Astyanax mexicanus: one gene and its partners. The protein of the gene in region 1 interacts with the protein of each later gene in a pairwise test. Links are inferred from orthologs where the notes say so. Each region holds a gene or a part of one and is shown in the gene's direction. Other genes may lie near its edges. The genes, in order: nav2b, ing5a and rbm15.

What was found.
Region 2: the proteins of nav2b (region 1) and ing5a interact in binary tests that used the Homo sapiens proteins (3 or more experiments, as listed by UniProt). The two-hybrid records come from large-scale screens. The link is inferred for Astyanax mexicanus from reciprocal best matches to the Homo sapiens genes NAV2 and ING5.
Region 3: the proteins of nav2b (region 1) and rbm15 interact in binary tests that used the Homo sapiens proteins (3 or more experiments, as listed by UniProt). The two-hybrid records come from large-scale screens. The link is inferred for Astyanax mexicanus from reciprocal best matches to the Homo sapiens genes NAV2 and RBM15.

Annotation. Positions count from the first base shown.
Region 1 is NC_064417.1:6,271,073-6,281,793, forward strand, and holds the start of nav2b (neuron navigator 2), read left to right. Parts: upstream 1-6,433; 5' UTR 6,434-7,012; coding exon 7,013-7,249; intron 7,250-10,721. UniProt on the Homo sapiens protein: Possesses 3' to 5' helicase activity and exonuclease activity. Involved in neuronal development, specifically in the development of different sensory organs.
Region 2 is NC_064423.1:28,853,754-28,863,902, forward strand, and holds the start of ing5a (inhibitor of growth protein 5a), read left to right. Parts: upstream 1-5,548; 5' UTR 5,549-5,649; coding exon 5,650-5,686; intron 5,687-7,788; coding exon 7,789-7,860; intron 7,861-9,097; coding exon 9,098-9,264; intron 9,265-9,352; coding exon 9,353-9,464; intron 9,465-9,822; coding exon 9,823-9,922; intron 9,923-10,141; coding exon 10,142-10,149. Other genes in the region: protein IMPACT, read right to left, coding at 569-654, 1,588-1,650, 2,831-2,883, 3,978-4,106, 4,229-4,270. UniProt on the Homo sapiens protein: Component of the HBO1 complex, which specifically mediates acetylation of histone H3 at 'Lys-14' (H3K14ac) and, to a lower extent, acetylation of histone H4. Component of the MOZ/MORF complex which has a histone H3 acetyltransferase activity.
Region 3 is NC_064419.1:41,294,902-41,305,868, reverse strand, and holds the start of rbm15 (RNA-binding protein 15), read left to right. Parts: upstream 1-6,252; 5' UTR 6,253-6,434; coding exon 6,435-9,023; 3' UTR 9,024-10,967. UniProt on the Homo sapiens protein: RNA-binding protein that acts as a key regulator of N6-methyladenosine (m6A) methylation of RNAs, thereby regulating different processes, such as hematopoietic cell homeostasis, alternative splicing of mRNAs and X chromosome inactivation mediated by Xist RNA.

The DNA of each region.
Region 1 (10,721 bases):
ACTTCCTGTGTGTTAGACCCTCCCTTTCCGTCAGAAATCGCAGTTTGTAAAAGTGTTTCAGCGTTTGTAAAAGTGTTTTAGCGTTTGTAAAAGTGTTTTAGCGTTTGTAAAAGTGTTTTAGCGTTTGTAAAAGTGTTTTAGCGTTTGTAAAAGTGTTTCAGCGTTTGTAAAAGTGTTTTAGTGCTGGTAAAAGTGTTTCAGCGTTTGTAAAAGTGTTTTAGTGCTGGTAAAAGTGTTTCAGCGTTTGTAAAAGTGTTTCAGTGCTGGGAAAAGTGTTTTGCGTCTTGTAAATTTGTTTTAAGTTTTGTAAATGTGTTTTAGTTTTTGTATTTTTGTTTTCTGACATGTTAATTTGTTTTGCACTTCAGGGCCACCGTACAGAAGCATTATGTAAACCAATGTCCAGAAATAAACATTGCAGAGGGCTCAAAGGCATCAGGGACAGACCATAACACAGTGGAAACTTATATGTAGTGGCGTAAAGAATCAGTATTTCAGATCTTATCTTTGTTTTGGAAAAAAAAGATGACTTGAGCTTTGGGACAGAGAAAAAAAGGACCATCCAGACTGTTATCAGCAACAAGTGCAATAGGAAAGGTCTGTCATGGAATTGATTTGTGTCAGAACTTCTATGATGGTAGAATTAATGCAGAAATATTCCCTTTAGAGCAACATATGCCTGTTTTAAAGCAGTCTTTCCCGGGGCATCCAGCATTATTAAACAAGATAATGCAAAAACAAAGCCTGGGCTGGTTGTAGCAAAGCCAAAATGTGAAAAGGCAACCCTGTTCTGTTGTACACCTTTGGGTACATATGCAGGTAGAATATGACAAAACAACACCTGAAACACTTCAGTGCTTGGTGTCATTATTTTCAAATTATATATTTTAAGTGATGTGAGAAGGAATGACAATATTGCAAAGCAGTGAATACACTCCTGATAAAAATCTTGAGGCCAGTTTAAAATGGCAAGAATTTGCGCTTTATCTTACTTATATTATCTTAAGAAGGTTATAAGTAGTGCTTCACAACCAAAAAAAAAGAAATTGGTGCAAGAGTCAAAAACTTTTGAGCAACCTGTTTATTGACAAATGTGTTTACCGTATTTTTCGGACTATAAGGCGCACTTAAAATCCTTTCATTTTCCCTAAAACTGTCAGTGCGCCTTATAATCTGATGCACTTTATGTATGAATTCTACCAGTCAGGTATTAAGGAGCAGTAAAACCACTCCACTGAAGTACAGCTTTTTAAGGGTGAGTTTTCAGTGAAGTTTCTATAACACTAAGGCTGGGTGCAGCAGCATTAGCATTAGCATTAGCCTCTAACAGCAGCGCTAGCTCTTTCGGCATTCAGAGACGAGTATATTTGACTGTAGTCTGCAGCTTTTTGCAGTTTACTGTGTCAAAACAAGCTATGTGGGACAAACTGCTAGCTGATAGCTCCCTGGGTTTCCAGAATTCGATGTGTACCAGTTAATGATTTGTGCTAATTAATGATTATGTGATTATTTTAGTACTTGTTAGCTACATTAGCCTTGTTGCTGCTCTCAAAAAAAAGGAACATCAGACACCAAACATGCCATGGACAGTCATGTGGGAAAGATATGCTAGATCTTCAGCCCTAAATTACTTTCAGACCAGGTTTGCTAGGTGTATGGTGTTTTTATACCTGCTACTGTTGCTATTTTGGTGCACAGCACTAATACACAAAATGTGCTTCCCTCCGGAGGAGTCTCTGAGGTTTGAACCACCAAACCCATCACAGCTCTGTCAAATTGGTTCCACATTGCAAATTGTTTTTATTTGAAGCATCAGCTTAGCAACCCACACCTACCACCCGCAGTTATTGTGGTGTGTTTTTTTAATACGCTTCCCTTTGCCATATTTCCCATGATGTTATTTTATGATCCGGCCTCCGCTTTGTTTGTTTCTCCTGTTTCAGCCTTGGAGGTCTGATTCTGAGAGTTTCCTTTTTTATTTTCTCGACCACACCAAGCTTGTTTCATACTGATGGAATTATTCTGCTGCTTCTGCTGAGTGCTCTGGCTGTTTAGGGCATGGTTATGAGTTTGCGAATATTCTAAATTTAGAATACACTTGATTGAGCCCAAATCTTTTTATGGTCCAGTATACTATAGAAGTTTAGAATACAGTGCCCTGGAACCTGTTGCCAGTTCACTGGTTGACCTTCCTTGAAGTGCTTTCAGTAGATACTGACCACTGCAAACTAGGAACACCCCATAATACCTGCTTGAAATGTTTGTCTCTTTTCAGAGTTTCTCAGATTTTCATGCTTCCGAAGAGATAAAAAGGTTTTGCACAACAGTGACAACATGTACAGTGGTTTGAAAAAGTTTGGGCACCCCTGATCATTTTAATCATGATTTTCCTTTATAAATAATTGGTTGTTCAGTTCAGCAATTTCAGTTAAATATATCATATAGCAGATGAACACAGTAATATAATGTTTGAGAAGTGAAATGAAGTTCATAGGATTTACAGAAAGTGTGCAGAAATCCTTTATACTAAATTAGGCAGGTGCCTAAATTTGGGTGACTTTTTTGGGGTCGTTTTATTGATTTGAATACATTTAGCACTAATTATTGGTACACAAAATTAGTTTGGTAAGATTATTGACCCTTGACCTACATACACCAATTATGAGAAAGGGTTAAGGTTTCCAATTGCATGTTTTCTCCTCTTTGCATCTTCTCTGAACTGTGTCAACATGGGAGCCTCAAAACACAACTCTCAAATGACCTGAAAAAAAAAGATTGTTCAACATCATGGTTTAGTGAAAGGATACAAAAAGCTCTCTTAGAGATTTTAGCTGTCAGTTTTCACTGTGAGGAAGTTTTCATAGTGAGAAAATAGACAATTGAAGACCACAGACACAGTTCTAGTTAAGGACTCAAGTGGCAGAATAAGAAAAATCTCAGATAATCAGAGGAGAAGGATGGTGAGAACAGTCATAATGAACTTGCGGACCTCCAGAGCTCCACACACCTACAACATCATGCATCCTGCTGCAGATGGTGTCACTGTGCATCGTTCAACTATTCAGCGCATTTTGCACAAGGAGAGGCTGTATGGGAGAGTAATTAATGCAGAAGAAGCCTTTTCTGTGCACACGCCACAAACAGAGTCGCTTCAGGTATGCTAAAGCTAAAGCACATTTGGACGAGCCAGCTTCATTTTGGAATAAGGTGCTGTGGACTGATGAATTTAGAATTAAGAGTAAGTTGGAGGGCAGTATGCATGGTGGGAAAAGAACAAACAGCTATTGCACACTTTGGGTAAATCATATAAGCTTTATTTCACTTCTTAAATATCACTGTGTTCTTCTGCTGTATGATATATTTAACTGAAATTGCTAATCCAAACAACTAATGATTTATAGAGGAAAATCTCTTTTATACCACTGTACATTCAGCTACATATTAAGGTCTTGGGTCTTCACAAACCACCAAAAGAACATCAGTTTTCCTCAGTACTTTGCTTCTGTTACTATCTGGAGTTAAAAGTTCTTTCCTCAGCTGGTGTTTTGGTTCTGGATGTGGAAAGTGCTGACTAACATGCTCACTCAAACATCTCACATAGGTGTTTAAGTAGGTTGAGATCTGTTGACTGTGAAAGTTATAGCACATGATTTACATCGTTTTCATATTCCTCAAACTCTTTAGTGACCTCTGCTCCTGCATTTAGCACTAATGCACATCGTCAGGGTCACTGAGTGTACTGGTTGACTCATAACTCATAAACCTGTTTATTATTGAGTTTATTTTTTATTTTTTTCCCATAGATCTAAATGCAGAGGTCAGTCTAGGTCCTGGCGTTGTTTGTTCCTTGTTCAATCTGTGCCCTAAGATTAAATGAACAAAAAAAAAGGTCAACTGGTTCTGCTTTGTGTAATTTGAAATTTTTTGAAAATTTAACATAACTTAAATACTACCATAATTTGAGATCTTTTAAGTTGATTAAATCAAACTAAATACAAAACTCGTGTGTGAGTTTGATCAACTTTGATCAGTTTTGAGTTAAGGTGAGTTGATTCAGTTGAGTAATCCTGGCGCTGATGAGTAAACCACCTTTCCTATTGGCTCCTGGGACCATCAATTTGCATACTGGGTGTGCATATCTACCCCACCTTTACTCACCATCAACGTGAAGTCACATTGACTACCTTGAGTTGAGGCTACCTTTCTCAACTCCAGACCTTATAGATCTTATATAAGATCTATAACTTTCAGAATTCCAGTTTCTGGTCATGGATTTTATTTGATAGAAGTTAAGAGAACAGTTATTGGCTACAATAATTGATTGGCTAGTGTGACATCAGCAAAAAAATAAAAATCCTAATGTCTTGTGCATGCATACAAGTGTACTGTTGGTGTGCACATAGTTTAGTGTGTTATTTAAGCTCAAATAATTTAATTTTAGTGGTTGAAGATTTTTGTTTTTCTCAAACAATTTGAGTTTACTTAACTTATGAGGTTTCACAGTGCACATACCATCTGTGTCGTATGCTTGAATTTACTGTGCAGATATTTTTTGCTTGTCATGTTGATCCAGAATAAAGGTAAACATGTTTTCATTGGCAACAGAATATGGTGGATGTGCATAATTTTTTTTTCCCCACCACTCCAGGCATGCGTGATAACTCTACAGTACCATTTAGGTGCTCTTAACTGTGGTGCTGTTAAAGTTTCTGAGGCTGATAACTCTGATAAATTTATTCTGAATGAATATATTTTGGGGTGGTCTGACTCCTGATGAGAGCCAGTTTCACCAGTTTCATGTTTTTTTGATGTTCTTTAAAAACTGCACTTGATGATACTTTAAAATTGATTGACCTTCAAAGTATTTTTTTCTTTACTTAGTTGAGTAGTTCTTGCTTCTCATAATCTGGATTAGAACATTACTCAAATAGGGCTATTCACTGTATAACAATGTTTGATGCTCTCAAACACATTAAGAGGCAAACAATTCTTAAGACAAGAAATGAATTCTTGTCGAGTTTAGCACAGCTGTTAACTGAAAGCCTGAATTCTGGGTGACTCTACCTCATAAAGCTGACTGAGACAATCCAGCCAATATGTGCACATTTTTTATAGATTGGATGACTGGATAATTATCCAATGCGATGGATAGATGGTATTTTCAAATGGTCTCTTTAAGACATATTAAAAAAGTACTTTTTGACTGTATACAGGGAGGTTTTGGATTGTTGGTGGGTTTCTGTTTCTAGCCTGGCAGAGATTATTACTGAGCTCAATCTCTAGCCTACAGGAAGTGCTGCCCGAGCACAATTTTATCTCCCCCAGCTAAGGCTGTGGGTGCATAAACAAACACTCTCTCAGCATGGTGAAGGAAGTGTGACCAGGTATAGGAATTCCCCCGCAATCTTCCCCAGCTCCAGTTTATTGTAAGAAAGCGTTAGTATTTCAGCCTCTTAGCTTTGCGGCACTCTTTCCTATTACCAGTTAAGCCACTTCAGAGGGGATTATGAAACCCTTGTGTTTTGGTTAACCCAAATTGTCAGCATTAGAGCTCATTCCCACAGTGAATCTTGGTGTTTAGCAGCTTTCTGTCGGTTAGTGAATGCATGGTTGGAAAATTCTTCAACACTTAAGATATATCCTAAAACCCCTGTCATTTTAGTGTGGGAGGTTTCATGGCTAAATTGGAGCAGCATGGTGGCCAATCTTCATTAATTGCACATTGCCCCAGTAAGAGCAGAGTGTGAAGGTTCAATTAGCACGGTAAGAGCACAGTTTTGCTCAAAATATTGCAATGCACACAACATTATGGGTGACATACCAGAGTTCAAAAGAGGACAAATTGTTGGTGCACGTCTTGCTGCCGCATCTGTGACCAAGACAGCAAGTCTTTGTGATGCATCAAGAGCCACGGTATCCAGGGTAATGTCAGCATACCACCAAGAAGGACCAACCACATCCAACAGGATTAACTGTGGATGCTGTAAGAGGAAGCTGTCTGAAAGGGATGTTCGGGTGCTAACCCGGATTGTATTAAAAAAAAAAAACGTAAAACCACGGCTGTCCAAATCACGACAGAATTCAATGTGCACCTCAACTCTCCTGTTTCCACCAGAACTGTCCGTCAGGACAATAAATTATTGTGGTCTAAAACCAAGTGTTTCAGTTTCATTGTCCAACCCATGTATATGGGATTTATTGAGTTTAAGGTGCTCCCTTGCACCAACTCTCTTGGGATTGCCGACCACAGCAATCAGAAAGGCTGTGGTTGACTGCTGATTCTAACAGCTGATTAGCTTGACACCCAGGAGTGTTAGTCTTGAGCTTTCGTCTAAGACACATCTGCTGCCTCACTAATGGTCTTCCTCTTTAATCCCTCCCGAGCCTGAGGTGTTTACTGACTGTAGCTGCAACTGGAGGCTAGTTAAGCTTGGGCCCACAGATTGATGGTTCTACTCAGATGAGCTGAACTCATCTTCTCTCTTCCTGGCATTTTGGACTTTCTTAAGAAGGAAACTTTATTCTTCCTGGCATTTTGGACTTTCTTAAGAAGGAAACTTCCCTCGAGTGCTCTTCAGAATCTCAGCAGGTACTGGTTTCCTGACTGTTCTTCACTTTCTGAGCCTCAGAGCAGGTGGAATCCAGACTGTAGATTTCTAGACTGCAAGGAAATTGGAAAACGCAGATTCTTGAGACAATTGGAACTGGATATAAGTGTCTACAATGGATTTCTTATTAAACCCTGAGACTCTCCACAAGTCTGCTCAAGTGTGTACGCTGCTGAGGCTTCTCTGAACTGCCTGGGTTTGTGTGTGTGCATTTGAGTGTCTGGGGGCAGTCCACTGACTCGCACCAGCTGTTGAGCCAACAAGCGTGATTGCTCCAAGTACCGCTCCCACTCAAGTCAAGCAGGAGTGTATGTGTGTGTGGTGTATAAGTGTGTGTGCCACTGCCAGCCTCTGGAAGAACGCCACAGCTTTGCGACTCTGCTTGGACAGCAGAAGAGAGGAAAATGCCGGCCATTTTGGTCACCTCCACCATGAAGTCTGGATTGCCCAAGCCTGTCCACAGCGCATTGCCCATTCCCCAGTCTCCCAGCCACAGAAGAACCGGACACAACGGCAGCCCCAAGCTCAGCCATCCCAGCCTCATCCCACTGAGGAGCACCCTCTCCAGGAGACACAGTCAGACTGCAGGAGCGACGCTGAAGAAGAGTCAGACAGTCAAGGAGAAGATCGCCGACCCCCAGGTTTGAGTTCTTTGAGTTCTGAGCTTCTTGTGTTGCTTGTGTTGGAGATGGTTTGTTTTGCAAGTGCGTGCGTGTGTGTGTGTGTGTGTGTGTGTGTGTAAGTGGGTGTAAGGGAGTCAGTTCTGTTATAGTCTGTGTGTGTGTTTGTAAGAGAGAGAGACAGTGTGTGTACAGAAAGGATTATACTTCATTCATAGAAAAACAAGCCAGAAAGTGGAATTGCTATAAATGTTATGAATGAAATGTTATAAAACGTTTTGTGGTTCCAAAGTTTTTGATTAGAGTTAGGTTTGTTTAATCTGATTTGGAAACTTTTTCATCACATACATATACAGCTCTGGAAAAAAAAGAGACCATTAAAAACCTCTGGAATATAATCAAGAGAAAAATGGATGATCACAAGCCATCAAACCAAACTGAACTGCTTGAATTTTTGCACCGGGAGTAAAGCAGCATAAAGTAAGCAAAAGCAGTGTGTAAGACTGGTGGAGGAGAAAATGATGCCAAGAAAAAAACAAGGGTTATTCCACCAAATATTGATTTCTGAACTCATAATACTTAATAAATGTGAACTTGTTTTTTTTTTTTTTTTTTTTGTTTTTGCATTATTTAAGGTCTGAAGGCTCTGCATCTTTTTTTTGTTGTTATTTCAGCCATTTTTTTTTTTTTTTGCAAATAAATGCTCTAAATATCAAGATTTTTTTGTCTGTAGTTTATAGAATAAAACAACAATGGTAATTTTACTCAGACAAATATAACATATAAAGCTAAATCAGAGAAACTGATTCAGAAACTCAAGTGATCTCTTATTTTTTTCCAGAGCTGTATAATATATATTAGCACTACATACCGTACAAGTACAGAGCTATTGCTGCTTTCATTCAAACTTTCATTCAATCTGTGCTATTTTTTTTTGTAATAATGTATATCTGCCAGTTGTTCTTTACATTCTTTCCAAATTTGATGATAATGATTAGACCATAAAAAGGACTTGGACTTCCACTGAAAGTTAAGAATGTTTTTTCTTCTCCCATAAAGTTGCCATTTAGGGGGATAGAGTGAGCTTTGAGGTGGTTTGCTGCACTAGTGGCTTTGGAACTGCTGACCACACCAATCAGAGAGGCTGTCAAAAAGTGAAAAATGTCAAAAATAGAGATAAAAAGGCAAGACAGCGACTGCATGCACTTAAATGTAATGACATGTCCCATGTACGTATATAGTTGCTGTCATGCAAAAAATAGTTTGAGTTCCTTGTATCTCTAAAACTAGCAACTTTACAAGACAAGGAACAAAACGTCCAATGGAAGTTAATGTAAAAGAAGTCATTTTTGGAGTATTTCTATTAGTTCATTCATTATTGCATTTTGAGACAATGGAAAGAGCAACAAGAAGATTCAGATTATGTTAGAAAGGGAAAAAAGGATCACAGATTTACAAAGTTTTTGGTCAGAGAGTGGGAAACATGTGGTACAGTGAATAAGATGCTTCATGCTTATAACTATGAAATTATATATCATTATCATAAAATAGTCTTAAAATAACTATATGAATAATATATTTTATTGCAATGATTTTGAGACAATATATCATCCAAACATTCAAAGTTATGCTGGTGAAGTACTGAAGAGCTTCCTCAGCACTGAAGGGGTTAATCTGCACCTGCAGGCAGTTGTGGCTTTCGTAAAGCTTTGTAGTAGGAGCGCATAGTAATGTTTTAATAAGACTTTGTTTATATATGTGAGTGTGTGTTTTCACAGCTTTCTCAGGGCTTTTTTTCCTGGACGTCCTGTGTAAAAATATGTCCAGCTGTAGTACAGGATCAGCATTATTAGACTGCTTTCATTCACTCACAGGTGCTTAAACGGCCACACAGAGGCTTTACCTGGTTTAGTGTGGGGTTAAATGGAGATTAACACCTTGCTTGAGGTGTTAGTGTGTGTTTTTGTTTGTGTCAGTGTCAGTATGGCAGGTCAGAGACCAAACGTGGGGTATTTAGTTGATGGAAAACCAGCTTTAGGGTCAGTTTGTATGAAATACATTTTGCAGGAGTTTGCTTTTAATTGAAATCAATGCTATTAGATTTTATTATAATATTTTTATTATAATACACTCATTGAAAAAAGGGGTTGGACAATGAAACTGAAACACCTGGTTTTAGACCACAATAATTGATTGTGGTGACGGAGAGTTCTGGTGGAAACAGGAGAGTTGAGGTGCACATTGAATAGTTTTTTGGATACAATCCAGGTTAGCACCCAAACATCCCTTTCAGACAGCTTCCTCTTACAGCGTCCACAGTTAATCCTGTTGGATGTGGTTGGTCCTTCTTGGTGGTATGCTGACATTACCCTGGATACTGCGGCTCTTGATACATCGCAAAGACTTGCTGTCTTGGTCACAGATGCGCCAGCAAGACGTGCACCAACAATTTGTCTCTTTTGAACTCTGTTATGTCTCCCATAATGTTGTGTGCATTGCAATATTTTGAGCAAAACTGTGCTCTTACCCTGCTAATTGAACCTTCACACTCTGCTCTTACTGGTGCAATGTGCAGTGTTACAGTTGAATGCAACTTTATATGAATGAAGTTACTGTGCACAGCTCTGGAAAAAAAAAATAAGAGACCACTTAAAAAAAACTTTGTTTTTACCAAGTTGAAACCTCTGAAGTTATCCAAAATCAGCGTGTAAGACTGGTGGAGGAGAACATGCCAAGACGCTTGAAAACTGTGATTAAAAACCAGGGTTATTTGGTAATTCCAGGTTAATTAGGCAATTCCAGTTTAAAGGGAAGCTGGAGATATTGGAGATATCAGGATTGGTCCTGACAGTGTATAGACCATATTCTAAGTTAGTTTTGTATATCAAACACATCAAAATAGTTCAAATAAAGATTTCTTAAGCTTAGCACTCACACCTCAAAGCACAGGGGGCTCAAACAGGAGCTTTGAAAGCCACGTTTGTTTGAGCTGGACTGCCATGACCTTTGGGTTCCATGCCCGGTGAATAAATTCAGTATATATATTCTGTTGTTTTAAGAATAGACTAGGCAGTTCTGTTCAAATGTGACTTTCTGCCTCATTACACAACTCTACACTGAGCCTCCAGCTGCTCTCTGAGTGTGTGTGTGTGTGTGTGTGTGTGTGTGTGTGTGTGTGTGTGTGTGTGAGTGTGTGTATTTATTCTGCCCCTGCTACAGTGAGGAACTTCACTCTTCATGTGGTTTGGAGGATGAAACACTCGGCCGCCTGGTCTGTCATTATAGTATTACGCACAGAAACACACCAACACACACACACACACACAGCAGTGGAGGTTTTACTACAGTGCTCTATTAGTAGTGGTGTGCCACAGTGCAGGTGGGCGCATGGCCATGTGGGATCCAAGCTCACACACATACACACACATATACACACACACACACTTACACCACTATAGAGCACATCAATGGGAATAGTGCACTGGCACTGATC
Region 2 (10,149 bases), on another chromosome or scaffold:
TTTAAAAAAAATCTCAAAACAATTCAGCAGTCCACGGTCACAAATGTGCGAGTTTCTTAATTTGTGTTAAATTCGTCTTACTTTTTTATTTAAGCTATTTACTGTATGACCAAAATAAAAAATAAAAAACTTAAAAAGCTTCCAGCAACAACAACAGAGACAGGTCTGCAATTACCTGATAAATAAGCTGCTCCTCAATCATAATCACTCATCACTCAAGTGAATCCAGTGACTCAGATAATATCCTCAGTGGCACCCCAGTGGAGAACTTTACTTCAGGATTAATTTACTGCATTTAAATTTTAATCTCCACATCTACAATATGTGAGACATAAGACATTCATATTATCATCAGCTCTATTTCCCTCATAATCGACTGTTGCTGTGGCAGAAGCTCTCATGCCGTAATGGTGCTCCACACCTGAATGAATCTGAAAGGAGACGCCGATTACTCAACTAGAGTGTTTGGTGCCTGTGGTGGAGAGCAATTTTGATCTGCAAATAACCTGGTGCATAATTTGATATGCCGTAATGAGTCCAGTGACACACTCTGACTCTGAGCTTTTACCTGCATCTGCTCGCTGCAACCGTTCTATCAGGAATTCTCTGATTTTCTCCACCCAGAGGTAAAGAATGCTCTCTCCAACATTTTCCCTGTAATGATAAAACATAAACAATACAACATATAAAGGCACTCTATTTATACACACATGGCATGGTCATTATTATTACATCATTAATGTACGAGTACTCACTCCTAAGAAATATTCAAGTTATTCAAGGGTTCTTAAGTCTACATTAAGTAGGCACCAAATATTCAGCATCTGAAATTATTCGGGTAAAGATCAAACAATAACTAATATATTTCAAGTCATATTGCAGTGTTTCCTCTAGAACCTTTTTTAGCAGTGACAGAAGGTTCCCACTTTGCACCACCAACACCCAACCATCCCCAACTGCAGCAGCAGGCCACAACTGTGGAAACACAATAATGCTGTGGAAACACAATAATGTGCTTTACTGGTGTGTCTGATGGAACACTAAAAATGTTCAGTGTAAATTGTAATTTTGTAATAGCTTTCCTTTAAATACTAGGCTTTTTTTTTTTTTTTCCCCAATAGTGAAAAAAGTGGGGGAATTAATGAAAACCACTAGAATGTCTACAGGTGCCACAGAATGCACATATTGGGCACTGGGTATTTTCTTGAATTAATAAAATTGTTTATGTATATGACTTTGGTTGGGGTGAAAATGCTAACATGAAGCTTTACAAGCCTATTTTGCTTTAAAAGGAAACATGCAGAGTTTTCTTTTACAGAGGGCTCGAGGAAGGCCCACAACCACACATCATGGCTTAGCTTAGCATTCCTTTGTTTTTAGCACTGAAACAAGAAAATTTATTACCATACAGATACCAGATACCTTTGCCAATACCTCCCCAAACTTTGACATAAGTTAGTTGGACAAACTGTAGAACATTAGCTTTTAGCCTTGCACAAATATGTGAGCAATAGAGAAGAGCATCAGAAAAATGCTGTAAATATAAATGTTACTGAATACAGAGTAAGAGATTTGGGAGATGCTTACAGATACAGTTCTTCCAGGCTGTTGCAGATTTTGACTCTGTCTGGTCCTCTTAGCCATCCTGCACTGGAAAATAAATCAAACAAACAAATGTTAGGGCTTAACTGTCAGGTAATGTGTTAGTAATGAAGAACAGTTAGAACTAGAGCTGGCCAAAATAATGATATTTATGATTGAAGTGGTTCATGTTGAACATAATCTTAAAATCTTCACTATATAATAGAGCATTATGTGAGAATTGGGTATTTTTTACACGAGATTCCCCTACAGTCAGGAAGAAGAATGCTTTACACATGCATTTCTGGACAAGCTAAGAGATAAAGAACTGGTAAATGAAGCGAACGAAGCTTGTGGACTATAGCAGTACAGGAATATTATAGGATTTTACACAGATTTATTACATAGATTGTGCAGTGTTACACAGTTCTTTCAAGCATTCTCCTGTTTGATTCACCTAATATTTTCTATTCTAATACTATAGACTACATTATACAGTCAGTTAAGCATCACAATGATTTCAAAGCTGATATTTTAAGCGAAAAATGCTACATAATGCTACGTTAAAGAACACTGGCCAACTACATATTTGCACTACTATGAAAGCAAATAGTTGCTTATTTTGGTCAAATTTGAACAAATAAGACAAACATGATTAAATCAACACTTGACAAGTCCAGCTGCTACTTCAATTCTGTCTACATTTCCACATCTAATCTCCCAGCAAAGAAAAAAATACTGACCATGAAGACAAACACCTGCACCACACCAGCAAATAAGTGCTAATAAAGTGAATCATACACATGGCAGCCTGTGAGAAGCCAAATATATTACTGTTCCTTCTTATTGTCAGACTGAATCAGTGCACAGTCGCTTCAAACACAGCTTTTCCCCCACTGCATTAAGTCTGGTGGCCAAGGACACACAGGCAGGGTCAATGTATCTCAAGTCACAGTCCACTCTCACACACACACAACTCTCCTATTTTTTTCCACCTGTGACTCACAACACACTGTGTTTGAGAATGTGTCAGTCAGATGCACATTAACATTATAAACAGATTTGCAATACTGCACAGAACAGCACAAAAGAGCCACTAGATTGTGTTTTATGTTCTCTATGTGTTCAGATGTTTATCTATTTGTCTTTATGTTGCATGCATTGTCGTTTCACAATCAGTGATCACTGATATGTAAATAAACTCATAAAGCTAGATCATCATCCTCTCACACAAACACACTGCACTTACTTTATCTGGTATATTGGAGGTGCTGAGCTTGGGTAGTCTTCTGGGAGTATGATCTTACAAAAGAAAAACAATATGTGTTTCATGACTTTCAAATAAGTTTATATTATTACACCAGTAACAAAAAATCACATTACGGACATTTTAAACAATCCATGTACATGACCTCAGTCATTTACCTTCATAGTTGATTAAATACAAATAAACTTCACCAAATTGTACCCAGTCACAAATTGACCACTTCATCCATAACAGAAAACCCCACACAACAAATATTCATTAAAAGGTCATTGCGTATTAAAAGGGTGTAACTGCATTAATATCTATTAAACTATCATATATATTCTTCATAAAAAGTCTCACTTGAGATTTAACATAATGATCAAAAATAAACTAAAGAGCTTAAATTTGCTGTTGCAACTAATCCTAATTTTAATCATAAAAATATACTATTAATATTACTATGAATTAGCATAATGCCAATAGTGCTACCACTACTACTAATATTGCAATACTACTAATAACACCACTTACTAACTCTATTTCTGTACTATGAAAGAAAACATAAGTGTTACTTGCAATTTCTGACGTTTGACAACTCTGATGAACTGATCCTGTACAACAAAGGAAAATCTTACTCTTCCTTTTCTGGGGCAGTATAATTTTGTATTGACTGACCTTCAGTTCTTTACTTTTCTTGAGTAGCAGCTCTTGCAATATAACATTACTCTTCACAAAACAATTGATGCGCGAAATTCAAGTAATTAATTAATTAACACAGCAGGGATGGCCATTTAATTAACACAGCAAGGAAGGCCATTTCCAGGTAACTCTACGTCATAAAATTGCCTGAGAAAATACAGCCAAGATGTGAAAAGCTAAGCAAAAGGTATTTTGAAGAATCTAACATACAAAACATATTTGTGTGTTTAAAACGTTTTTGTTTACTAAATAATTCCATATGTTTTCCTTCATAGTTTGGATGACTTTAGTATCAATGTGCAATGCTGAATTTAAGGTGTGGTATTGTAATAATAATAATAATAATAATAATAATAATAATAATAATAATAATAATAATAATAAACTTAGTTATAATTATAATAATATCTAAGTACAAAAGTAAATAAAAGAAAGATTAACGTTGTACCTGCAGACAAACAGACCACCTGGGCTCATAAATATCATCTGATATTTTGATGCAGAATATTCTCGAAGCCTCATCAATCACACACCATTCATCACCGTATATGGAGGAAAGTGCTTCGATCTCTTCAACCTGTGGAAATAACTTTATATCAAAAACGCAGAACACAAGCTTTCATACAAACCCCAACTTCTCACAGCCTCCTCCACACACACATAACTAAACACAGAGAGATTATACAAACTCCTGCCTACCTGAGACTGCAGGTCACTCGAGTTCTCCACGCCTGTGTCCATTTATTTAACACACATATCTGTAAATGAATCCAGTCACACACAGCAAACACTCTCTCACACACTCTCCTCTCACACTCCTGAACCTTTACTGTAGTTCTCTCGCTGCACAGAGTTAGCAGAGGAGATTATTTCCGGGGTCAAACACGAGCTCTGTCAAATGGCCATTAAAGCGCGAGTTATGTAGAATTTTCTATATACGTAATTATTTTGTTACTCTACAATTTCCTGTCGTATATAAGTACGTTATACGTTATATGTTCCACAAAAATGAATGGAGAAACCTAAACACTTAAGTTTGACTGCCTCGGTCCCTATAGGTGGAGAAAGCTGTCAATCACTGTACATCACTCCGCCCTGTTTATTCTCGTCTGTTCTGTGTGTTGTAGAGCTGAAATATTATATACATAACAACACATACATGAGCAATTCTTTATTACAATTAAAGTTTTGTAGTTTTATTATTTTTTTATTTGCAGATGTGCCAAAATAGACGCAAACACGATTTAGAGCTACCAAAGGGATTTTATTTTGCAATAAAAATTCTATATAAAACAAAGTAGCTCCCTTCAACCGTCCAAGCAGCTTTTATACTGAACAAGGTGCAAAAACAACCACCTTATATCAGTCAAAACATAAAAATCACTGCTACATAAAAGTTCTTCACAGGTTTCTGAAAGAAGCACAATCTACTGAGATTCCCCATGGCAGGATATATATGTCTATAGATGTACAATAATAAATACCTCATTTTAAAATTATTTTAAACCCGTAATTTGATTAATAAAAATAACCTTGATAATTAAGCAATACAATGTTTACCATTTGCAATGACTCTTCACTCTCATCAGTACTCTAGCTAGCTTTAAATAAACATTTTAAATTAATCAAATACATGTATTACCCTCTCTGTTATGTCCTGAGCCATAGAAAGGTTACTGGCTGCAATTGGTCTTCTTATAGATTTAAAATTATTATTTTTTAATTGATACAAATCTTTTGAAAGGATGATTTGAGTTTTTTAGTTAAGTGGTTTAAATCAGTTTTTTTAAGTATTTTAAAGTATTTAAGTTTATTAAAGTTTATTTTTTAAACAAATATCTTATTCCTCTATGGTTCATTACATGTGTATATGCATATACATACATAAATGTATTTATTAAATCAATTAAAAATAAATATTTTTAATATAATAATCATTTAAAATAACGTAATAAGCCAAACCCCAAAAGTATCCAATCAGAGGAAAGAATGCAAAACCACAACGTCTCAACCAATGGGAACGATGCGGGTCATGAATTATTAATAAGATGCCAATGTTGTTCTGGATCACGCGTTGAGAAAAACATTAAATCTCTGTATTCTTTTAAAGGGTTGGAATAATGGCGACAGCTATTTACCTCGAACACTACCTGGACAGTAAGTATAAATGAAACCGTGTGGTTATTATGGTTAGATGTTTAAATGTCTGAGGCTGCGCTGTTTTTGGCGGCCCAGCGAGCTGCTGCTGCTGCTGCTTGTGGCGTAAGCGAGATAACCGAGCTAATGTGGCTAAGCTAATCTCAGATCGCTAAAGTCTTGGTACGAAAACAGGGAAACTATAAGCAGTTTCTGGATATTTCCTACAGCTTTAAGACCAGTGACCGACTTGTTTGTCTACAAGTTATATTTTAGATTAAAGTGAAGCGGATTAAATGTACAGTGGGGGATTTTACCCGCTAGTTTAGCTTTAGCCGCGTTAGCATGGGCCGGCCTAGGTTAGCTAGCTATGGCGAAAGTTTGGCAGCCGTGCCTGAAACTTTAGGCAGGACTCATATGTTTACGTTTTCCCTAAATTTAAGTTTAATAAATAACCTAGTTACCGCATTCACTGTAACACGGTTAATCTGGCTAGTATATCTGTTCTGCGTCCACTAACGATAATCAGCACTGTTGACGCAGTTATGTGAAAATTTTTATTGATCATTGATATTGACATACACTAGTTAGCGTTAGTTTAGTTAGTAAGTAGGGCTGGGCGATATGGATTAAAAATGTTATCGCGATATTTTTTTTTACCAGAAAGTCGCTATACGATAACGTTATATACCTCGATATATTTCCTTTCCATATGGTAATAACAAAAAGAATCTTTGAGACAAAACTAACGTTACATGTTCCAAATTTTATACATGCACTTTAAAATTCAGCTGTAGAGTGAACATGAGATATACTCTAGAGATGGAAAGATCAATTGGTTATGTATCCATAACCATACTGGGAACTGGAAGAAGAGAGGCAAACTGTTAGAGCTAGTTAGAACATAACATATTCTATATCGATATATAAACGATATGTTTCATCTTATACAGCTCTGGAAAAACCCAAGACTGCTTACAAATGATGAGTTTCTTTGATTTTACCAAATTGAAAACCTCTGACATATTATCAAGAGGAAGATGGATGATCACAAGTCATCAAACCAAACTGAAATGCTTACATTTTTGCACCAGGAGTGGCATAAAGTTATTTAAAAGCAGTGTGTAAGACTGGTGAAGAAGAACATGCCAAGATGCATGAAAACTGTGATTTAAAGGGGGGGTTATTCCACCAAATATTGATTTCTAAACTCTTAAAACTTTATGAATATGAACTTGTGCTCTTTGCATTATTTGAGGTCTGAAAGCTGTGCATATTTTTTGTTATTTCAGCCATTTCTCATTTTCTCCAAATACATGCTCTAAATGTCAATATTTTTATTTGGAATTTGGGAGAAATATTGTCTGTAGTTTATAGAATAAAACAACAATGTTCATTTTCCTCAACCATATACATATAAATAGCAAAATCATAGAAACTGATTCAGATACTGAAGTGGTCTCTGTCAACAATATTAGTGATCCTTAAAACTTGATATATATTACCCAGCCATATTAGTAAGTATACTACTGTTTATAAACATCTCTTCTAATTAGCTAGCTAATAAAACATTCGGCTACTTTTAGTTTCTTGTTGCCCATTGCTGTCACAAATGTGCAAATGCACCCACATACATAGCTTTTCTATTTTATGTGGGGAAAGTACTGCCAATAGAATAGAACTTTCTGGAACAGATAAACATGAACCTATGTTTGCCATTCATTTTTTTACAGCAATGCTTCAAAGTCTTTTTTAATAGAACTTTTATTTTTGTCTAAAATACGAATGAGTATTTTTGAAGTCTTAAAGCAGCACTGATGTATTGTTTCTTTAATAATAACATTCAAAAGAAAAGGGATTTTTAGCTACACATTTTTGTCTTTAAAAGTATCTAAATAATCTTGACTACATTTCTCAAATAAAATTAAATAAAAAGATTACCCCACAAAGTTTAAAAAGCAGTCAAAAATGTATTTGAATGTTTGTGTGAGCAAATTAATTATTAGGTACTGCCCACCTCTGTAAGTTTGCTTTGCCAATGAGGAAAATTTCATGTCATTTCATGATGTGCATATTATATAGGATATATTACTTTATTTTAAAAACAATATCTGTTATTTCAGGCATTGAGAATTTGCCATGTGAACTGCAGAGAAATTTTACACTCATGAGGGAGCTGGACAACAGGACAGAGGGTAAGTCTAAATAGGGCTGATCTATAAATCAGTATCAATATGTACAGTTACCTCCAAAAGTATTGGAAAAGTAAGACCAACCCATTTATATTGCTGTAGACTGAAAACGTTTGGGTTTGACAAAAAACAACTAAGAAAAAATATCATTATTTCAGCTTTTATTTCCAGGTATTTACATCTGGATCTGATAAATTGTTCAGAAGATGGCACCGTTTATCTGAACCCACCATTTGACACCAACAGACAAAATTAAACTATAGTGAATACGTTTTTATATTTAGTTGCAAATCCTTTGGTTGCAATAATTGCATCAGGTCTGTGTCCCATTGATATCACTAAACCTTTGCTTTCTATTTTTGTGATGCTTTTCCAGACAGTCTGTTTTTGTTGTTGCATGATGAACAATCTCCCCATCAGTTTGGTTTTATTTTTCTTCAAATAACAGATACATGTTTCTGTAGACTTCTGAGTTAACAGTACAGCACTGTCCTGTCTGTTAAATTGTCTCATCTGTTGTATTTCTTGTATTTATTGTAATGTTACACTTTTGCACTTTGTTAGTCTATTGTATTGTTTCCATGTTGCACTATGGTTCCAGGGGAACGTAATTTCATTACACTGTGTACGTGTACTTGGATTTAATGACAATAAAAGTCCCTTAACCTGATTGCCTTGATATCAATGACGATTAATAAGCCTCTCATAGAGGAGGCCATGCAAGCCCAAGCCACGACATAACCTCCATAACATCTTTCAGTTCCAGATATAAAAACTGAAATTTATATATTTTTTCTCATTCATCTTTTAATGTCAAACCCAAATATTTTCAGTTTACAGCAATAATAAATGGATCAACTCTACTGTTCCAATACTTTTTGAGGGGACTGTATGTATTGTGATAGAAATGTCTTAATAACAATCATAACTTTTTTTTTTTTTTTAAATACACATTTCCAATATTTCATTGTGTAATTTATTATTATTTTCAGCATGTGTTATTGGCTGGTGTTCATTACAGACAGCATTACACAAATTTGACTTTTGTTCTGTGCTTTTTTCTATTGTTCATATCAATATTGGAATTATGTCTTATCAGCCAAAATTAATAAAAATATATTGTACTATAAAGTCTGCAGTCATGCAGTGCTCATGTTGTCTGAGCACAGTGTTGTTCAGTCCTGAATACGGCTTTTATAATTTAGTTTAAGCATGTTTTGTTTTCTCTTTTTCATTTTAGAAAAGAAAGGAGAGATCGATAAGCTTGCAGAAGAGTATATAAAAAATGTACGGAACCTCGCATCCGAGCAGAGGGTGGAGCACCTGCAGAAAATCCAAAATGCTTACAGCAAATGTAAAGAATTCAGCGATGACAAAGTGCAGCTTGCTATGCAGACATATGAAATGGTAAGTGACTGCATATTGATTTCTGTCTTCCAAAGCAACAAAATCAACAGCTGTATTTTATATATTAATCAATACTAATGCTTTCTAGGTTGACAAGCACATTCGGAGACTAGACGCAGACCTGGCACGCTTTGAGAATGAGCTGAAGGAGAAGCTGGATGTCGGGGGCTATGAGAGTCCAGATACTAGAGCACTCAAAAGTAAGTAGTTGGTACAGTGACTATAAAACATTGTAAACTGGACATGTTCCTTCCTGATTGCAGAAACTAGGATCAGGATTATCTATCCTAGTTGTGACACTAAAAATAATTCCATGGAAGTTAGATTTCTGCAAAGCAAGGCCTTTAGAGATGCATTTTTTGAAACCACAAATGACTGGGTAGCATGCTCTGTCGTTTTATCTCAGTCTGATGTAATATTGCTGAACCAGATTGTGTCTGCCTCTCCAATATCTTAAAAAAAACATTATTATTATTTAATGATTGCTTTAAACAAACAAGTAAATGTATTAATGTATTTCATCGAAATGGAATTCTTCTTTTTTTTCTTATTTTACAGAAGGAGGTGGGCGGGGACTTAAAGAAAAACGAGGACCCAAAGGCAGAGGAAGAAAATGCTCGGATGATGACTCACCCAGAAAGAAGAAAATGAAAAACAGGTTATTATTTTTATTTATAAAATAAAAGTTGATAAATAAAAGTTTAATTTAAATATTTTCAGATTCATTGCCTAGTGTTGTTTAGTTACTGTGGTAACTGTGTATCTATCACAGTTTGAAGTTTCTTTTTTTTTATCTTACACATTCATCATGAAGTCACATTTTCTAAAGCTGTGGTAAATATTAATAAGTCTTATGTTTCATTTCTTTTTTTCTCAGTAATGAAT
Region 3 (10,967 bases), on another chromosome or scaffold:
CACCACCCAAATAATAATAATAATAATAATAATAATAATAATAATAATAATAATAATAATAATAATAATAATAATAATAATAATAATAATAATAGCTGCTTTGTGGTGGTTTTCTCTCCTGTGGGGTTCTGATCATTAAAGAAGAACAGGGTAAAAGAGGATAATAATAAAGTATCCAGAGAAATAGATACAGAACTACATTCTGTAATTATAAAATTACTCATATAGTATATGATCAGTAGAGCTAATAAGATTGATAACGATAATTGATAATGGTCATAATGTTATGCTTGATCTGTGTATTGTCACTCTCATGCAAAAAGCTTGTATCTCCATTAAGAGCGTGTGATATGGTCCTAAAATAATATTATGAAACTTCAAGAATATACTACTGCCTCCAAAAACTTGTCAAAGTGTTATTTAGTATAAAAGTTTTAAACATTCAGTAGAAACAAATAAAATCTGTAAACATTTCTTATTTTTGTACACAGCAGTAGGAAGATGATAATTTAACGATAAATATTGTATTGTAAATTATGTAATGTACCAAATAAATATACCACAAAACAATGCAAACATTAAAAAATATACAAAATATCTTTAAAGCTTCACAATAAATAGCAAAACAAATACAAAATAGGCTGTTTTTAAGACAATACCAATATCGAATCACAATATGGATTATTTTTTATTGTTTAAAATATTGCATAGGTTTTTATTTTGTGAATGATACAATATTACACACCTCTATTCTTAGTTTTTGCATTTTTTTTATATGTACTAAAAGAATATGAATATGGCAGTTGTTTCATTCTTCCCATTGCGTTAAACTGTCCTATTAAACGGATCATTTTGCAAAAAAAAAAAATCCATTTAAAAATTAAGATATTGTTGTTCAACTCCTGTAAAGTTGCTGTTTTGGAGATACAAGGTTTTTGGTACTGTACATTTGTATGACGATATGCTGTTTTTCTAACAGGTAAATGTTTTTTTTTCCTCATCTTGTGCATAATTGTATATAAACTCTGTATGAACCAGAACAGAATGACATTTTTGTAAAACAAAAAAAAATATTTAAAGTTGCTAATCTCATATGTTAAATGAATGTATGCTGAGTTTTTACATTAGTATGAATATTAATAAATGGCTTTTATATTTCACTCCTTTTGTTTTTCTAACCCCAGGAAGAAGAACAGTTAAAATGTTTTAATAGACAATTTAGTTTATTGCTGCCTCAAATATATATGAAACATATAAAGCTAATTGTATTGTTGTAGTTTTCCTTTAGGCTTTAAGCTGCTAAATCATTAAAACATCCCCTTTGGTATTCTTGAAAGCAGCACATAATTTATAGCAACTGTGGATGTTGTGTTTTAATGGCTTTAGTCTGTGTGATTAATGTCTGACCATATTGTGACCATATTTTTTCTGCAGAGCTGTTCGAGTGTTTGAGCAGTGTCTGAAGGGGAAGTGTCACACTGTAAGACTGTTGTTGTAAATCAAAAGGACTGCAGAAAGGAACCCGTACAACCAAAAATGTAATTAAATTAAAGCAAAGCAACATGGGTCCTCACCAGCACTGAAGAAGTGAAGAAGCTGTAATGCAGCATTTAAAATACAGATCAGTTTCTGAATCAGTTTCAGAGTCTGAATCAGTGTTGTTTTATTTTATAAACTACAGACTTCCAAATTCCAAATAAAAATATTGTCATTTAGAGCATTTATTTGCAGAAAATGAGAAACAACTGAAATAACAAAAATGATGCAGAGCTTTCAGACCTCAAATAATGCAAAGAAAACAAGTTCATATTTATATATAAGTTTTAAGAGTTCAGAAATCAATATTTGGTGGAATAACCCTGGTTTTTAATCACAGTTTCCATCTTGGCATGTTCTCCTCCACCAGTCTTACACACTGCTTTTGGATAACTTTATGCCTTTACACTCCTGCTGCAAGGATTCAAGCAGTTCAGTTGGGTTTGATGGCTTGTGATCATCCATCTTCCTCCTGATTATATTACAGAGGTTTTTAATTTGGTAAAATCAAAGAAACCCATAATTTTTTGGTGGTCTCTTATTTTTTTCAAGAGCTGTATATCTGCATCATTGATTAACATTGTACTATTAGGTACTACATCATATATAATCCACAGGTAGAGCATTTAGGAGCATTTAACCAAACATTTTATTGTGTTTTCTCATCTGTAGAAAAAAACTGTAGAACACAGCATCCCATCACATTTTCTCTGATGGAAAGAAAACCATTTGGGACACTATCTAGTAAGTGTGCCATAGAGTGCACTAGAAGAGCAGGAGGGCACCCATAGATATGCATTCATTAAACACAAACACTCACTTCCTCTGGTTTTAAATTACATTCTCTAAGAATCTGTCAGAAAGGAAGTGGTTCAACTCTAATACAAGAGGTTTAGTTTATCTGAAGTAAACCACTGCGGAAAAACAAATCAAGCCGTCTGGAGGCCTGGACCACTTGCTTTCAGTCCTGTTTCTGGGAGACCAGACTTTTAGAAAAAATGACAGTAAACTCAACTGTACCTTTAGAGGTCCACCACTTGGCATGGGGTGGTACCATCAACTTAACTTAAATCAACTAAACCCAACTATAACCTAACCAATCCCAGCTAAACCCATAAACTAAAACCTTTAAACTACTTTCTGTTGGCTTAGGAAACATTCTTATAGAAAATTTTACTTAAGGTGCAGATAAAAACAACTTTTTTCCAGTCCCAAAAGAACCAAAAGAAATGACCCAGCTATCAAACATACTCCTTTTATTTAAGCTAAACTGCTGATAAGGCACAGTTTAAAATTTGATATATTAGCCAGATAATGCTAATTACCACAGCTAGGAACAAATGCTGTCTCTGCTGCTGCTCCGTGCTGTTTACACGCACTGTGTGTGCTGTGTTCACTGCTCGCAGCTGCACAACTCTGTTTACTGTACATCTGCACTGCATATCAAAAACGCTGTGTTTGAAAGCACTGCGCCAAATCTTCAGCATCCTGTGTTAAAGCAGCTTCACACTGCACAGATATCTGCACTGAAACACAGAATCTTCTCGATATATTTTGTTTTTATTTCTCCCACACCAGACAGCTCTGACCAATCAGAGGACACAATGTGCCCACGTGGTTTATTGGTGCGTATTTTGGTGAGTTTAGGTTTATGCCTGTGTGAAACCAAACCCAACAGAGGGAGAAAACGCTCCAAGTAAATGAACTCATCAAATGATCCGGATCATAGAAACCAAATACACACGTAGATTTTAGTTAAGTTAAAAATCTTCTTTATTAAGATATTGTGATTGAATTTGTCCTCTACACAAAAGTCCAACTAAATGGTAAAGGGTTCAGTATAGTATAAAAATATCTAAAAATAATAAAATACGATACAATACAATAAGAATAAAAAATGTTAATCAGTGAATTAAATACATTATGCATGATACTGTCATGCCCAAAGAGGAGTAGTATTGTAGATTTTATAAAACCTTGTGTCGGGCATTAAATCCAAAAATACTGTATTAGGATTCATAAATTATATAAAATAATGTTTTGAATTGGTTTTGGTTTATAAATGAATAAAATATCATTGCTATGTACAATGAACTTTTTAAGGGGAGCTAAAAATGCTCTTAAACCTGACATCTAGCTAGCTACCAGTAGACATGGCAAAAGTAATGGCACCCAATACTACAGGTGGTTCCTGACACATGATACAGTCATGGGCGTGGTAGTGGGGGGAAAAGTGGACCTGACTACCCAGGGCCCGAGTAGGGAGAGGGGCCCATGAAAATCCTGATTTTTTTTCGCTCACTTTCCTTTGTTTACTGGCATGGATAGGGGCCCATTAACATAGAGGGTGTACAGGGCCCAGAATTTGCTGCTACGCCCCTGGATACAGTATGTGACATGTTAATGCATTGTAGTGTATTGTATGTGTGGAAATAAACACATTAGAATCAGGGTGGTTCAGTGCATTGTTTTTATTCATTATATAAAACAAACATTCCAGCAGCATCCAGACCAGCTAAATACAGCTACAGGGGTGGTAGAACATCCACAGCAGATGTGACAAGGCCTGAAGCGTGCTGGTGCTGTGTGAGACAGCTCCATCTGCATCTAATGACCGCATGCCAGTTCTGTCAGACACTTTTTTTAGGACAAGCTGCCTAATTTAGATAACATCTGAGATGTAGCTCTTTAGCTCTTTTCCAGGCTGAGAAACAGAGCTAAACAGCTGCAGTTACAACCTGTTCAAAGCCACTGTCATCTTACCCCACTCTCCAAACGCACAGCGGTGGAGGATTGTTTTAGGGCGAGTATTTGTTACCACGTCTTTCCACCGAATCTTCAGCATGACAGCAGAGCAGAACCACATTAAGTGCCAGTCTAGCACACCATGTCGTGTTTTTAAGAGAGCTGACATGTGTTTCCAATAGAGCCGAGAGAGAGCGAGGCTGTCAGAAACACTCTCCACACCCACAGCTTTGAATTCCAGCCCGGCCCGTCGAGACAGCACGGCCTGATACAGCCACAAAGGCAAACTGATTAGGGCCCAGATTACGTGAATGAGATAAGCAGATAAAGGAAAAGAAAATAATAAGAATCACTGATCAGAAAAGCAGTGCAGTGGAGTCAAGTTTACTGAATGTTTCTGGAAGTTTTTAGAGCATTTTATTTAACGATTTTAAACATTCTGGTAACATTGCTAGAACATCATTGTGTGTTTTCTCCCATTTTTCTCCCAATTTAACTAAACCAATGATCCCACCCATTCAGCTGCTGCTATATCCCCCATCACAGGTGATGCCACACAACATAAAATCAAAAACCTGCAGCAAAGCTTACAAGAAATGTGTTTACATTTTACATATTGCTCATTTAATAAATACCTATACCTAATAAATAATTCTGGGTTCAATCAAATTAGGTCATTTTACAGTTCAGTTGCAAGGAAATAATAAAGTAATATTGACTCAATTTACATCTTTATCATATAAAATGTCATCTCACATATCCAAGTATATTTTGATTAAATTCTCTAGCATTTTGTGAGATATATAAACTATAAAAAATAGCCACATAGTGGTTCATTTTCTTCTTTTTTTTGCCTAATTATTTGTAGCCAACACAGAATACATTTTATTATTATTAAAGTATTATTATTATTAATATTTATTTAAAATTTATTTAAAAACGTATTTACTGGTCTAGAGCTGTATACAGAATACAGGCGGCGACATCTACTGAACATAAAATGAACTGCTATTAAATGCTGCATTGCCTCTAGCAGAGGTCAAATATTTTAAATAAACCAAAATAAACCGTTTTTACACATCTTGCTGCACAATTTAAGCCTTCGTATCATTATATATAAACTTTATTATAGATCAAATGCGTGAAAATTCCTTTTAAACGTTAAAAAAAGGCTGAAAGTTGAATTATTTAAACGTCCTTTCTGAGGGCTCATTTCCGCATGCCACGAGGGCTAGGCGAGAGCTGGGCCAAAGAAACTATAGAGAGGAGATCAGTCATTTTAGCACGTCTTCTGGCTTTGTTCAACCAGCAGAGGGCGCTTCTGAGTGAGCTCAAAATGAATGGGTTCTTATGGAGCAATGGATCAAAATAGGATATTATAAATGTCTGATCATTTTTTAATGGGAAACAAATTCTCATTTCCTCTAAACAAAACTATATAAAATGTTTTAACAGCGCAGAAACAGTGTAAACTGCAGTTATACAGCTTTTAAACGTGTTCTCTGACTGTATCTCCAACATCAGCTCAGTGATCTCACAAACAATAGCAGCAATGCTAGCGTTTTTACTGAGTGAAACATGCTTGCTGTGGACAAATCGAAACATAAATATATGTTTGTTTTACGTTTTTAGCGAAATACGTGAATATATTTTCTGAAATTAAATTAAAATGTTGAAGAAGTAGTTGGACAATGTTTTAATTTGTGTTTTTAGCCGTTTAGCCCCACTCAGTCCCATTCATTTAAGACTCCCTCGCGGGCTCCCTCTATCGGTTGCTCTAGAGTAACGCTACTGACACATCCGTCAGAGATTTGAAGTGGGCAGGCACGCTATAATCCAGTTTTAGCTGGGCGTTGTTCTGAGTTTGTGATTGACGTGAGTTTCAGCCAATAGAAACAAGCGCTCGCAGACATTCCAACCAATCATATTGCTCGGGCGAGGTACGCCCGCCCGACTCGCCTGAGTTAGCGTTAGCTAGGTTTGCTAGTGTGTGTTGAAGCTGTGGAGACAAGATGGCGAATGCAGTTGTTTTGCTGCGGGAATGATTCAGGGCGGATTTTCGTAGTTTTTTCGTTTAAATCTGCGTAACTAGGGTGTAGTTTATACAAGTTGTGAGTGTTTATTAGGCCAGGCGCAGGTTTAAAGTGCTCGACATGAAAGGGAAAGAGCGTTCCCCCGTGAAAAAGCGATCGAGGGCGCTGGATGATCTGCGAGACCGCGGAGGGAGCCACCCGAGCAGTAAGAAAATGGGGGTGATTTCCATGTCCGGAGGGAGCAACAACGGCAACAGTTCCTCCAAAAGCGAGGGAGGTTCAGCGAGAAGGAGCCTTCTAGGCGATAAAAGAGACAGTAGGGACTTTGACGGACATGTTTCCAGCCGCGCCGGGAACAGCTACACCAGCCCCAACTCGAAGAACCACAACTCGGGCCTGTCGCTGGAGGCAGTCGCCGCCGCCGCTGCTAGGGGCAACTCGCGGGCCGAGCCGCGGACTCCGCTCCCCGCCAACGACAGTGAGTACAAAACGCTGAAAATCAGCGAGCTAGGCTCACAATTAAGCGACGAGGAGATCGAGGACGGGCTTTTCCACGAATTCAAGAAATTCGGCGACGTAAGCGTGAAGATTAGCCGCGTAAACGACGAGAGAATCGCGTTTGTGAACTTTAGGAGGCCTGACGACGCCCGGGCCGCCAAGCACGCCCGCGGCCGCCTAGTGCTGTACGACCGCCCTCTGAAAATCGAGGCCGTGTACATGAACCGGAGGAGAAGCCGCAGCCCGGTGGACAAGGACCATTTCCCAGCAGTGGCTGGCCACAGACATTTACACACCCAGAGGCCTCTCTCCCCTACTGGGCTCGGCTACAGAGACTACAGGTTACAGCAGCTCGCTCTGGGCCGCCTTCCTCCACCCCCTCCCCCTCCTCTACCCAGAGAGCTGGAGAGAGAGAGGGAGTTTGCCTTCTATGAAGCAAGAGCCGCCAGGCCTGCCTACATCGCTGAGAGGGCTGCTGCTGCTGCCGCTGCCTTCAGAGAAGAGGACTTCATCTCTCCAGAGGACGACCAAAGAGCCAACAGAACTTTATTCCTGGGTAACTTGGACATTACAGTCACAGAAAGCGATTTGAGGAGGGCGTTTGATCGTTTTGGGACCATTACAGAGGTGGACATCAAGAGACCTACGCGTGGCCAGAACAGCACATATGGCTTTCTCAAGTTTGAGAATTTGGACATGGCCCACAGAGCTAAGATCAGCATGTCTGGAAAGGTGGTGGGCAGAAACGCCATAAAAATCGGCTATGGCAAGGCCACGCCAACCACACGCCTTTGGGTGGGTGGCCTAGGGCTTTGGGTTCCTCTAGCTGCTTTAGCGAGGGAGTTTGATCGCTTTGGCACCATTAGGACTATAGACTACAGAAAAGGTGACACGTGGGCGTACATCCAGTATGAAAGCTTGGATGCAGCTCAGGCAGCCTGCACTCACATGCGTGGATTTCCTCTGGGAGGTCCAGACAGAAGGCTGAGGGTGGACTTTGCAGACACTGAGCACAGATACCAGCAGCAGTTCTTGCAGCCGCTTCCTCTGCCACACTATGACCTCGTGGCGGAGTCTTTCGTCCACCGTGCCACTCCTGAAGCAATCAGGGTCAGAGAAAGGACTCCACCACCACTGCACTTTAGAGAACGGGAGCTGTATGCTGGGGCTGAGTGGCCAGCCCCTGCTATTCGTGAAAGAGTAAGGACTCCTGCTTTCGAACCTCTAGAGCACTTGGAGAGAGAACGCCGTCCAAGAGAGCCCTGGTCCCTGGAGCGTGAGCTGCCTGGCAGGGATGCTGCTCGCAAACGGCGCCTACTAGAGGATGGGCGCCACCTGGAATGCTCACCTGACAGCAGCAGCGAGTGGGCGGCACGACGCAGGAGACCACCTTCTCTGGAGGGCAGCCCTGGAGGCAGCAGCCGTGATGGGCGTTTAAGTGACTCAGAGCGTCCGCTTCGAGCAGAGCGGCCGTCCCCAGCCAGAGAACGCCGCAGCAGCCTGGACAGAGGACCTGCAGAAAAGCGCCTCAAGAGCAGCAGCAGCCTGTCAGAGTCCGGCATCGGAACAAGCCCATCTGAGAGAAAGCGCAAAGCAGGAGAAGCAAGCAAAGGCCCCTCTAAAAGAGACAGAGCTGAGGGCAGCTCCAAAGGCAGCCAGTCATCTAAGCAAGATTCAGGAGGAAAGCTGAGCATGGCCTGGAACGGCATGCTCCTCCTGAAAAACAGCAACTTTCCAGCCAGCATGCACATCCTGGATGGTGACCTCAGCGTGGCCAGCAGTCTCCTCGTCGACGGCAGCACCGGAGGCAAGGTCACCCAGCTCCGCATCACCCAGCGCCTTCGCCTCGACCAGCCCAAGATGGATGAGGTGTCTCGCCGCATCAAAGTCGCAGGCCCGGGCGGGTATGCGGTTCTCCTGGCAGTTCCTGGCAGCTCCGAGGACACGACGTCGTCATCCTCCTCCTCAGCAGATCCAGCAGCATCGACGCAGCGTCCCCTGCGAAACCTGGTCTCCTACCTGAAGCAAAAGCAGGCAGCCGGGGTCATCAGCCTACCTGTCGGGGGCAGTCGCGATAAGGACAACACGGGGGTACTGCATGCCTTTCCGCCCTGTGATTTCTCTCAGCAGTTCTTAGATTCCTCTGCGAAAGCTCTTGCCAAAACAGAAGAGGACTACCTGGTCATGATTATCGTCCGCGGAGCATCTTAACAATCAGAACACACCAAAAAAATGCATTGTAAAAAAAAAAAAAGAAAAAAAAAATGTGTCTCAATTGTGCATGCTCTGTTAAGCCTGGTGCAGCAAATTCTAGTTTAAATGGGTTAAAGTGGGTTTGTGTCATCTGTTCTGCCAAATGCAATGCATGGGGATAAAACATGCCACACTCAGATAGCTGAATTGGTTTCCTTATCGCAATATTTGCTTATCATTACAAGTTATGAGTCTTTTGTCCAAACTAAATCATCTTTGTGCAAAGCTGTATTATAAGAGTGGTTGATAAAAAGGCAGACATAGAATTAGAAAATTAAATATTTGCCAGAATATTCTGTACTGTTATAAATCCTATACTTTTTTGCATAGAAGTTTAGACTACAAGCGGTTGCCCTTACAAGTAATAACACAGATGTTGATTGATTCATGTCGTTATGTTCATTTTTCTGATTTAAAAGGTAAAGGTAATTGACTTCTTGTGACTTAATGCTTGAAACAATCACTTAACGAGTCAGTGATAAGGTGTAACATAGGCCTAGGTGTGTAGTTCTGTAGCCACCTACAGCAGTCAAGATCTTTCTCACGTAGAAACTGCATGTTTTCTCCATTGTCCTGTTTTGAAACTGTTGCACAGGTATTTCACGTTCAGAGTTCTGCATAATAATACAGGCTAATGTTGTATACAGTGATAGACACACAATGTACCTTAGTATTAAAATGTTCATCAGTGTGGAACTGGACAAAAAGAGCTACTGAGGCTACAAATTATTGATTTGTGTCAGATTTTATTATACCCAGGACCTCTTAAAACATGAATATTTGGTTTAATTTGAGCTACATCTTTTAATTTTACATGTTTATAAAAGGTACAGTAAGTTGAGTGCATATTAAGTTTATAATTTCAAAAGGTTAAAGATAAAGGTTTCTGCTGTGTGAAGCATATTGATCAGTGTGAGATATGGTATACTGTGTCTTTCTTTTCCTTCCTAAAGTCATTTAAATTTGTAGTAAAATCTAGTCATTTGAGACATTTCCCATTTTATAATTTGAGTTTTTCTCTTCTCCCACACTGAGTACACGATAATCTCTGTTAAAGATTGGTGATTTAATCAGTCCCTGGTTTCCATTAATTTCAGTGCTGTTGGTATTATCATTAATTATTTAAAATAATTATTATTATGCCATCAAGTTTTTAGTAATTATAGCTTTGGAATGCACTCAAATATTTCACAAATCTGGTCTTTTCATTTACATTTTTGTCAACACAGTTTTTGCCAAGGTTTTGTTGTTTTTCCCACATTAATGTAATTCAGGAAGATATGATGATCCTCTCAAATTTACATGTAGGTACAAAAATATGATGTACCTTAAGGTTCACAGTTACTTGATTATTGATGTGATGTAATTAATAATGTAATCCTATCATAATATATCTTACCTATATTAACCACAGTTATCATTGTATTTCATACTTCAAACAGGGCTGCTCTGTGCTTAACCTTTTTTTTTTTTTTTTTTTAGAATATTTGCAAAATATTTTATTTTGATTAATTAAAATTGTTTAAATAGTAAGATTATTTGGTTACAACAAACAAACAATAGAATATCTCATTGCTGTTTCAAGACAAACATGTGTCTTCAAAGCTTTAACTCTACAGGAGAAGTGTATGTAATTTTGGAGCATTTCTATTGGTCATCCTTTCTTAAATTCTTTGGGCAAATTTTGACAATGTGAAAGACAGCTGCTAAACTAAAAATGAAAAAAAGTGGAGATACATGTTTGTTGGACATGGACTATCTGAAATTGGTAAAGCAGAATCTGTTAATAAACCGTTACTTGAAATAAATATAAGAACTTTAATTTCTATTCACATGCAGCCCTGAATTAAAGTATGTTTCAAGTTTTCTGATTTCTCATCAGTTATATTACAGATATATTGA